Daphnia pulex: one gene and its partner. The protein of the gene in region 2 interacts with the protein of the main gene of each other region in a pairwise test. Links are inferred from orthologs where the notes say so. Each region holds a gene or a part of one and is shown on either strand. Other genes may lie near its edges.

What was found.
Region 1: the proteins of chromatin assembly factor 1 p55 subunit (region 2) and histone acetyltransferase type B catalytic subunit-like interact in a two-hybrid assay, tested with the Caenorhabditis elegans proteins (4 studies listed by BioGRID). The link is inferred for Daphnia pulex from reciprocal best matches to the Caenorhabditis elegans genes lin-53 and hat-1.

What each region holds. Positions count from the first base shown.
Region 1 is NC_060025.1:914,234-918,349, reverse strand, and holds histone acetyltransferase type B catalytic subunit-like, read right to left. Parts: upstream 2,676-4,116; 5' UTR 2,463-2,675; coding exon 2,456-2,462; intron 2,354-2,455; coding exon 2,285-2,353; intron 2,222-2,284; coding exon 2,146-2,221; intron 2,083-2,145; coding exon 1,959-2,082; intron 1,902-1,958; coding exon 1,760-1,901; intron 1,688-1,759; coding exon 1,531-1,687; intron 1,469-1,530; coding exon 1,257-1,468; intron 1,191-1,256; coding exon 1,039-1,190; intron 977-1,038; coding exon 860-976; intron 798-859; coding exon 657-797; downstream 1-656. Other genes in the region: methionine aminopeptidase 1D, chloroplastic/mitochondrial-like, read left to right, coding at 2,914-3,017, 3,080-3,311, 3,399-3,534, 3,605-3,660, 3,744-3,894, 3,985-4,095.
Region 2 is NC_060023.1:6,455,853-6,459,852, forward strand, and holds chromatin assembly factor 1 p55 subunit, read right to left. Parts: upstream 2,810-4,000; 5' UTR 2,672-2,809; coding exon 2,653-2,671; intron 2,591-2,652; coding exon 2,443-2,590; intron 2,374-2,442; coding exon 2,228-2,373; intron 2,168-2,227; coding exon 1,963-2,167; intron 1,890-1,962; coding exon 1,517-1,889; intron 1,447-1,516; coding exon 1,234-1,446; intron 1,170-1,233; coding exon 990-1,169; 3' UTR 830-989; downstream 1-829. UniProt on the Caenorhabditis elegans protein: Core histone-binding subunit that may target chromatin assembly factors, chromatin remodeling factors and histone deacetylases to their histone substrates in a manner that is regulated by nucleosomal DNA.

The DNA of each region.
Region 1 (4,116 bases), on a different chromosome or scaffold from region 2:
TAAGTGATTGGCATTACTTTTATTAACAATAACTTTAATGGAATATGAAATGGTTACTTAATGGTATTCGAGAAGACAGAAGAATCGACGCCCATTGATGAAAAACCATGCGGGAACAAAGCAGCCGAGGTGACCGGAGGTGACGAACTGACGATCAATATCCAATATGGTAGTTGGCACAGGAAACAGTACATGATTTCTCCACTAGGTGTCTGATGAAATAATAATGGGTAATGGCGCTCTGTTCAAAAAGTAATACCGAAGAGACTGCTTTAATCATGACTTCATGTTCATGATGATTCGAATCAAACGCATTTAATAATTATAGTTCACAGAATATTTTGTACGTGAATACATAAGCAAAAGAAACATTACTTAACAGTAAATGAGTTACATCAATAAGAAATGACGCATTAGGGATTATATTAACCACACACAACCAGACGATCAGTTGCTTTTTTTTAAATATCAATCCAAGGCCACTTCGACTCAAGATAAGGCTACTGTCAAATTTTAGCGACTAAAATGTATTATGAAAGCAAAATTATAGGGCGCAGTAACCTGATTTGATGTGCCACGTGCAGTAAGTGTTTACTATTGAAGCAGATCAATGACAAATGACAATCCAAACATGTTTTCCCAGCTTAGTAGGAATTTTACCTGTACTCATTTTCTAGCATTTGATATTGCTTGTCCAGGTTTTCAATCCGTTGTTCCTTAGTTGAAGTAGATAGGGTAGAGCGAAGTTCCTCTGCATTGAGGGCCTTTTGTAATTTCTTGTAATCTGATGCTTCTTTCTGTAATGGAAAAGTAAATTATATTGGGTATAATTTGATTAATCGAACAAGCTCGGACCCACCTGATAGGGAATATTCAAGCGACGCTTTACGTCTAAGCGATAGGCACGATATTCTTCGACATCCGCTAGGTTGGTTGCCTCGAAACGAAGGATTTCATAAACACGCCTTGCTTGTTTCTGAATACAATTGGAGCATAACAATTTTAGAGTCAGTTGTGAAACCAAGTTATTAATATTACTTTGTTGATTTTAAGCTCTCGTTGAGCATCTTCCACCATCTCAGCATTAAATCCTTGTTGAAGTTTTTCTTTAGAATAAGACGATAGTTTTTTGCTATTTTGAGCGTCGACAAAATCACGAAGACGAGTGAATTCTTCCGAAGGATCTTCAACTGTTAAAAAATAGACACAAAGCATGAGTAACAATTCTCCAAACATCTGTTAACACTGATACATACCTGTGATGTCAAGTATGTTGGAATCCTTAAGAAATGAACGATAAATGGTGTTTAGAAGTTCTGCTCCAAGACCTACGCGTTGAAAAGGTGGCAAAACTAAGAACTGGCTGATGCGAGGCCGAGTTTTATTAGGATAAGCAAAATAAAGGTAAACTGTGGCATATCCACACAGAGCATATCGATGACTTCCATCACAAGGATATTTTTCGAATCTGCAGAAGATACAGTCTCAAATGAAAAACATCGGATTAGATGAATATCTAAAAGTTATTACATTAAGTAAAAGCGCCAGCGGTCATCATCAACGTCGATAAAGCTAGCTGCATCCACATACCACAAGAGGAAAGTTTGCAATCGCTCGTGGTATGATCGAAAACTAGGTTCTTCTATCGTACAACTGTACAATTCAAAATTCTTTTCTGCGGCCGAACCTGGAAATGGGATTGTGATGACTCAAAGCATCTACAAAATCTGTGAACCTTTGTAATCTGTAGTATTAGTACCTTTGTTTATAGAGTATGTTGAAAGAAGTTCACCAGGAGGTTTGAAGCTTTGTTCTTTGTTTAGGGTTACGAGAAAGTCATCAAGGTTAGTCATGTAACCAGGTGGAAGTTTAGGAGTGATGGCTCCCATTACATCATCAGCCTAATAATGTAAAGTAGTTCAAATACATCACACAATTCAAATAAAAAGGGGACTCACTGTAGCTCCTTCAAATTGCTTGGGATCAACTTTTTTACTGTAATTCATTCCAAGGTATGTGTTTAGTTTTCCTGCAGTGTAGTACAAGCTAATTTTGAGGTTCTGGTAACCAAATATGCTTTCACTTGGGGAAACAAAATAATTTATAATTGATTAAATGATTCTCAATGTTTTTACTTGGACATACTTTTCTCCAAAAATTTGATGAGACATTTCTGGTTTGAAGGTAGTTTCATCATTATCAACATCAGAAGGTTCTCGAACTGTATAAATTAAAAAAATTGCATGATTCAGTAAAAGCTTTAGCAATAAATTAAATTCCTTACCTAACTTAAAATCTAGAGCTTCGTTCGAATCGATGATGAATGACTGAAGTACATTTTTTTTGTAAGAACCTAGCAACGTAAAAAGAAAAGTTAGCAAGCATTTTGGTGTAATGAATTATGTTGGAAGTTGTTTTGTAATATTCTAAAACAAATTCCTATGAAATGCATTACCTTCCATTTCAATATGAATAGTTAATATAAATTAAGCTGCACTATGACTTAACAAGTGCTAATAATAATTTGCTACTTTCTAAAATGCACAGGCGGGCGGCATGCAAAAACTTCTGACGAACTGAATCACTACTGAATCACTACTGACCGCGAAAAAGGTTGTTGGAGGGATTGGGCAACCGATTTGGAGATCCATGTTCTCTAGCCCAAACAACTTAAAAGAAGAAGGAGGTTGCAGAAACCCTAATGCAATGATAGTGATAATTGCACACAGTAGATGGCGATAGCTCTTTTTCCCGCGTTATATGTAGCAGACAAAAATCTTTTGTGAAATGTCAACAAAGCCTGAGTTTTCTTCTGCTTAACACTCAGTCAAATTCGATTTTATAGAACAAAATTAACAAATTATTCAAATACTAGCCTAAACACTTTCTTACTTAAATAAGATTTTGACAGATATGCTATTTAAAAGACTATGGGCTACTTCACTTGGTAGCACACTCTCATCGTCACAAAACCTAATGCAAATAAAACGGAATATAAGAAATATCTCCTGGTTTAAGTATTTTTGCTATCTCATTAAAACCTGATAAATATATAGAAATAACTAAACATTTTTAACAGGAAAAATCAAAATTTCGGAAATTACCAAGTTATAAAGAAACCAGGCCATGTAGTTCTGGAGCCAAGATGTGTTCCATCAAATATTGTGAAGCCACCGTACATAAATGATGTAAATGGCACATTCCCTAGTTCTGCTCAACCAGAGATCAAATCCAGCACACAGATAGAATGCATGAGGGCATCCTGTAGCCTTGCAAAAAATACCCTGAGGTACGCAAAAGAGCTGGTTAAGGTAAAAGAATGTATTAGGAATTGCCGAATTGGTAACATGGCATGATTGAAACAGAAATATATCTAAACAGTATGTTTGGATTTACAGGTTGGAACTACAACTGAGGAAATTGACAAATGTGTGTATGAGTTTATTATCTCTCACGGAGCTTACCCATCACCTCTACATTATAAGGGATTTCCAAAGTCTGTTTGCACCTCTGTAAACAATGTTGTGTGTCATGGTTTGTACTATTTTGGAATTAATATCTATTATATGCTTGAGCTTTACTTATTGTGCATTTTCCAACTTAGGTATACCTGATGACAGACCTTTAATTGATGGAGATATTATAAATGTGGATGTCACTGTGAGTTGTAAATTGTTTTTTTTGTGTTTTTTTTCCGTCAATTTGATACGAATAATGAAGACTTATTGAAATTCGTACCATAGGTGTATCTAAACGGTTTCCACGGCGACGTTTCAGAGACTTTCCTAGTTGGTGATGTCGATGAACAAGGAAAGGAATTAGTGGATGTCACCAAAATATGCCTAGATGAAGCTGTGGCAATATGTCATCCGGGGAGACCATATAACAATATCGGTAATCAACATCATTGAAAGTCTGTTTGTTTTTTTGCTCTTGCGCTGATGACAGAACATTGTTGTTAACCATTCTGTCCAACTATTAAAGGCGCAGTCATTGACGCTTGTGCCCGAAAACATGGCTTCCGAGTTGTTCCGGCGTTTACAGGGCACGGAATCGGCTCCTATTTCCATGGAGCTCCAGATATATATCACTTCAGTATGAAGAAACTATGGTTTT
Region 2 (4,000 bases):
GATGCCGGTATTTTCAATGAATTTTATTTCAGTCGTTTGCGGATATTGGAAAAAAATATTGCGCGCCTTTGTTTTGGGCGTTTGGGTAACTGCCCTTGAAAAACCGATGCGTCACGTTTTTGCAAGGCATATTTCAACTGACAAAAAAGCGAAAAAAACAAACAAACAAAAACATTATGAAAATGTGGAATCGATTTTCACATTTCGCGATCCATAAACATAACAAATGTTGGCGTTTTCTCAATCCCAATACGGGGTCCAACCATCCAGACGGACCTTGGCCGAACACGGTGTTGAGGATGCTGCTGGAGTCTTCGTCATGCTCAACCTCAAGCGCTTTAATTGCGTTTTCAAGGTTGAATAATAAATAACATCGGTCCTCTACACTTATTCACGGGTAGGAGAGGAACTTTTTTACTGCCGCATGATGCCCACACCCAGCTGAAGACGATAGATGTTTACCTGCTGCTTGCTGGCGGGCCAGTGTGAGCCGAACAATGTTGATTCACGGTCAAGACGGATATGCTGTTGGCTTCTAAATCCAAACATCACAGATTAGAAATCCGAGTTCAAAGAAAACAGTCGAACATGTACAAATACAAAATCACGAATAATTAGAACAGTCGGGAATTAGGCAATTTACTGTTATTTAGCTTTCGAAATCTAATGATTGCGTCATAGGGTCAGGCGATCAAGAGTCGAATTTTGTTCTGAATAAGAGCGTCTTTCAACCATTTATTGAAATTTCATCACAACCCACTTAATGGACTGCAAATGGACTAGTAACCTAATTAACGGCAGTAATTAGAATAATTCAAATTGAACCAAATCGCGGAAAGCTATTTATTGAATACACAAACTTGGATCTCCAAGCGATGTAAGGGCCAAATTCGAAGATTTGAATGTTAAAAAAAAGATGAGCGTGTACGTGGGACAGTAAAGAATCAAACGATGAGAAATAGGGTATAGGGCGATACACTGGAAATGCATTAATTAGTAGGGGTTTCCAGTTCTGAGGCTGGCGTCTCAGGCTCCTCGTCGTTGTAAATATTTTCAGCCATTTGCCAAACTTGCATGATGTTATCCTCAGAGACGGAGCAGATGACCCAGGGCTCATTCGGGTTCCAGGAGAAATCAGAGATCTTGGCCGTATGACCACCGTGAATGAACTGTTGAGAATTCAATAATTAAACAGCATCCGAATCAAACAATCGCATCAATATTTCAACTTACCAACAATTCTGGAGGGCCATCTTCGGCATCTTCGGTGGATTGTTCTTCTCCAATTTTGGACAAGTCCCAGACATGCAAGCGTCGGTCGGTGCCAGACGAAGCCAAAATAGTCTCATTATGCGGTGACCATTGGACTTGAAAGATTTCATCCTTGTGCGACTCGAACGAATGTAATTTGAGTTTAAGATTTCTCAAATCCCAAAGAGCTACAGTCTAGAAATACAATTTGGAGACATGTTTAGTTGAGTAGAATAAATAGTAGATTTTAATATTAAATGAATACTTTGTCTGCAGATCCGGTAGCTAAAATAAATTCGGAGTAAGGATTGAATGACAGACAGTTCACTTCAGCCGTATGAGCATCCACGGTATGGGAGGGCCGGCTGGTGTTATTGCTGCGAGTATCCCAAATCATAAGCTTCTGATCATCGGCAACGGAACCAAACAAGGACTCGTGAAGCAAGTGCCAAGCGACATCTTCTACAACTGCTGTGTGGCCAGTGAATACGGTTTTGGCGTCGAGAACACGATTCTCTCTCGGCGATGCGTTAATATCCCACAAGCAAATGGTGTGGTCATCAGATGCTGACAGCAAGTGACCATTAAGGTTTGGATTCCAAGACAAACCGTAACCTTCCTTCTGGTGTCCTCTCAGACTAAAAAAAGATAATGTAGTTGTGAGTAACAAGTTTAGGTCATAAGAAATCATTTGAATAAAAAATGACTCACCGTAAATCAGGGTGGCACTCTCCACTAGGATCAGGGCGAGAAGGATGTTTTGTGTAGTCAAAGACCAAGACGTCAGATGAAGGTGTTTTAGTGGCAATCACACAAGGATTCTGGGGCATGTAGCGAGCCCTGTTGACTTCTCCTTCATGGTTGATCTTGATCTCAATTTCAATCTTACCACTCACTGATCCAAAGCCTCCAAACTCTGATAGAGATGAAGCATTAAAACAATAGTGCAACAGATTTGATCAAGTTAAATGACTACCTCCTTTATCATTGTCATAATGTGAAGCATCAAACTGAGCATCCTCATTAGGAAGCTGGACAGATGCAATCAAGAGGTGATTTTGTTCATCGCTAGTGTGAGTACCAAGGATGAGACGATGCACTGAGTAGTCTTTGCCTTCAGGCCTAACGGAGAAAAGAAACATTCAACAGTTAGAAAGAAACAATAAAACACCTTTGTTCTCAGTAATTTACCTTGTAACATCAGGAAGCCATTGAGCTGTAAGTGAAGGCCATTCCAGAGCATGTGTCATAACCAAATCATACAAAAATGGAGTATTTTTCTTCCAAATTTTGTATTCCTCGTTGATGACGCGTTCTTCCACTGCTTCATCAAAGGGCTCTAAAAAAGATTGGATTAAATTTCACTGTCATCCAATAACAAAGAATGATTTCAACAGATACCTCCATCTTTATCTGCCATCGTTAGTCAATCAAGTCCTTTACTAATGATGAACCGGCTGGAACCTGTCAAGCAATAGATTCGGTTAGCAGAGACTTTTGAGCGTGCTGCTTTGTTAAATGGCGGCAAAAACGAAAGCAATTCCAGTGGTGCCACTTTGGAAAAAGTCGAAACTACTTCAATAGTTTATTTTGCCGTTCATAGATGGCATGGTCATGTCTTTAAAGAAAAAAATCTTGAAAATAATAAAATTGTTGTCAAATTAAAAGAATTTGCCTACTTCAAAAGTCTGATTTAAAAATTAAATTTAATTAGTAATAATTAAAAACAATATTTAGGTAGGCCATGGGTGTTGAGAGATTTGTATGCCTGTGGGTAGGTCTAGGAAAAAATCTTCATGTAAGGCAGTGTAAGGCATAAAAACAGTTATATTGTTATAGGAATACAGTTATTTTTTCTAGAAAAAAATATTTGCTTTCAAAAATATATCAATGCTTAATTCCACAAAATTTTAATGGTTTTCCGATGCCCAATATGATTTTAACTTTTTCTCAAGCTTTTTCTGTTGCGCATAATTAATTTCATAGTGGTTTAGCGCTAGATGCCAAAACAATGGAAGGAAATTTGAAGGTGCTTCACCTTTGTTGTCAAGGTTAAAGTGATCTACCTGTTACAATGTAAAGGCGATTGGCGCTCTAGGAAATGGTTCACAGTAAATCATGAAGAAAGCCTCCTCCGGCCATCCGTTAAACAATGTAATATTTTCCGTCATCAGACAATCAAACCGATATTTGAACTAGAAGATAGCAAGACGAGTAAACCACTTCAAAATTCTCTTTCATTGCACAGTGTATTTTTTGCCATAAATTTAATTGAGTTCAGTATAGAAGTTGTACAGCGTTAATAGGATTATTTTTTACTGCGTCTAAGAAAAATTAATGATTTGAAAACACCGTCATTTCTTTCCATTCCTTCATAACGTATTTATTGGATTAAAATTTTCTGCTATCACAACATTCACTAAAGGCTAATAACGTAGTGCTTCAACCAAATGAAATATATATATATATATATTTCGCCGAGCATTACGTGTAGTATGAGGAGTATGAGGAATATGAGGAGTAATAATGGATGGAAATGCCGGTTGAGATATTATCATAACAATGGTCCAAAATTGAAGTCAACTTCTGTTCTCATTTCAAAAGAGATATTCCACAATTTAAGTTAGCTGTTGGCCTTCCGTTCATTTGAACAATAATTCATTGTAGATTCGATCGGACCCAATATATTCATCATCATCATTCATCCAGCATGGTACGATATAAGCTTTTGCACGAAAGACACCCATAC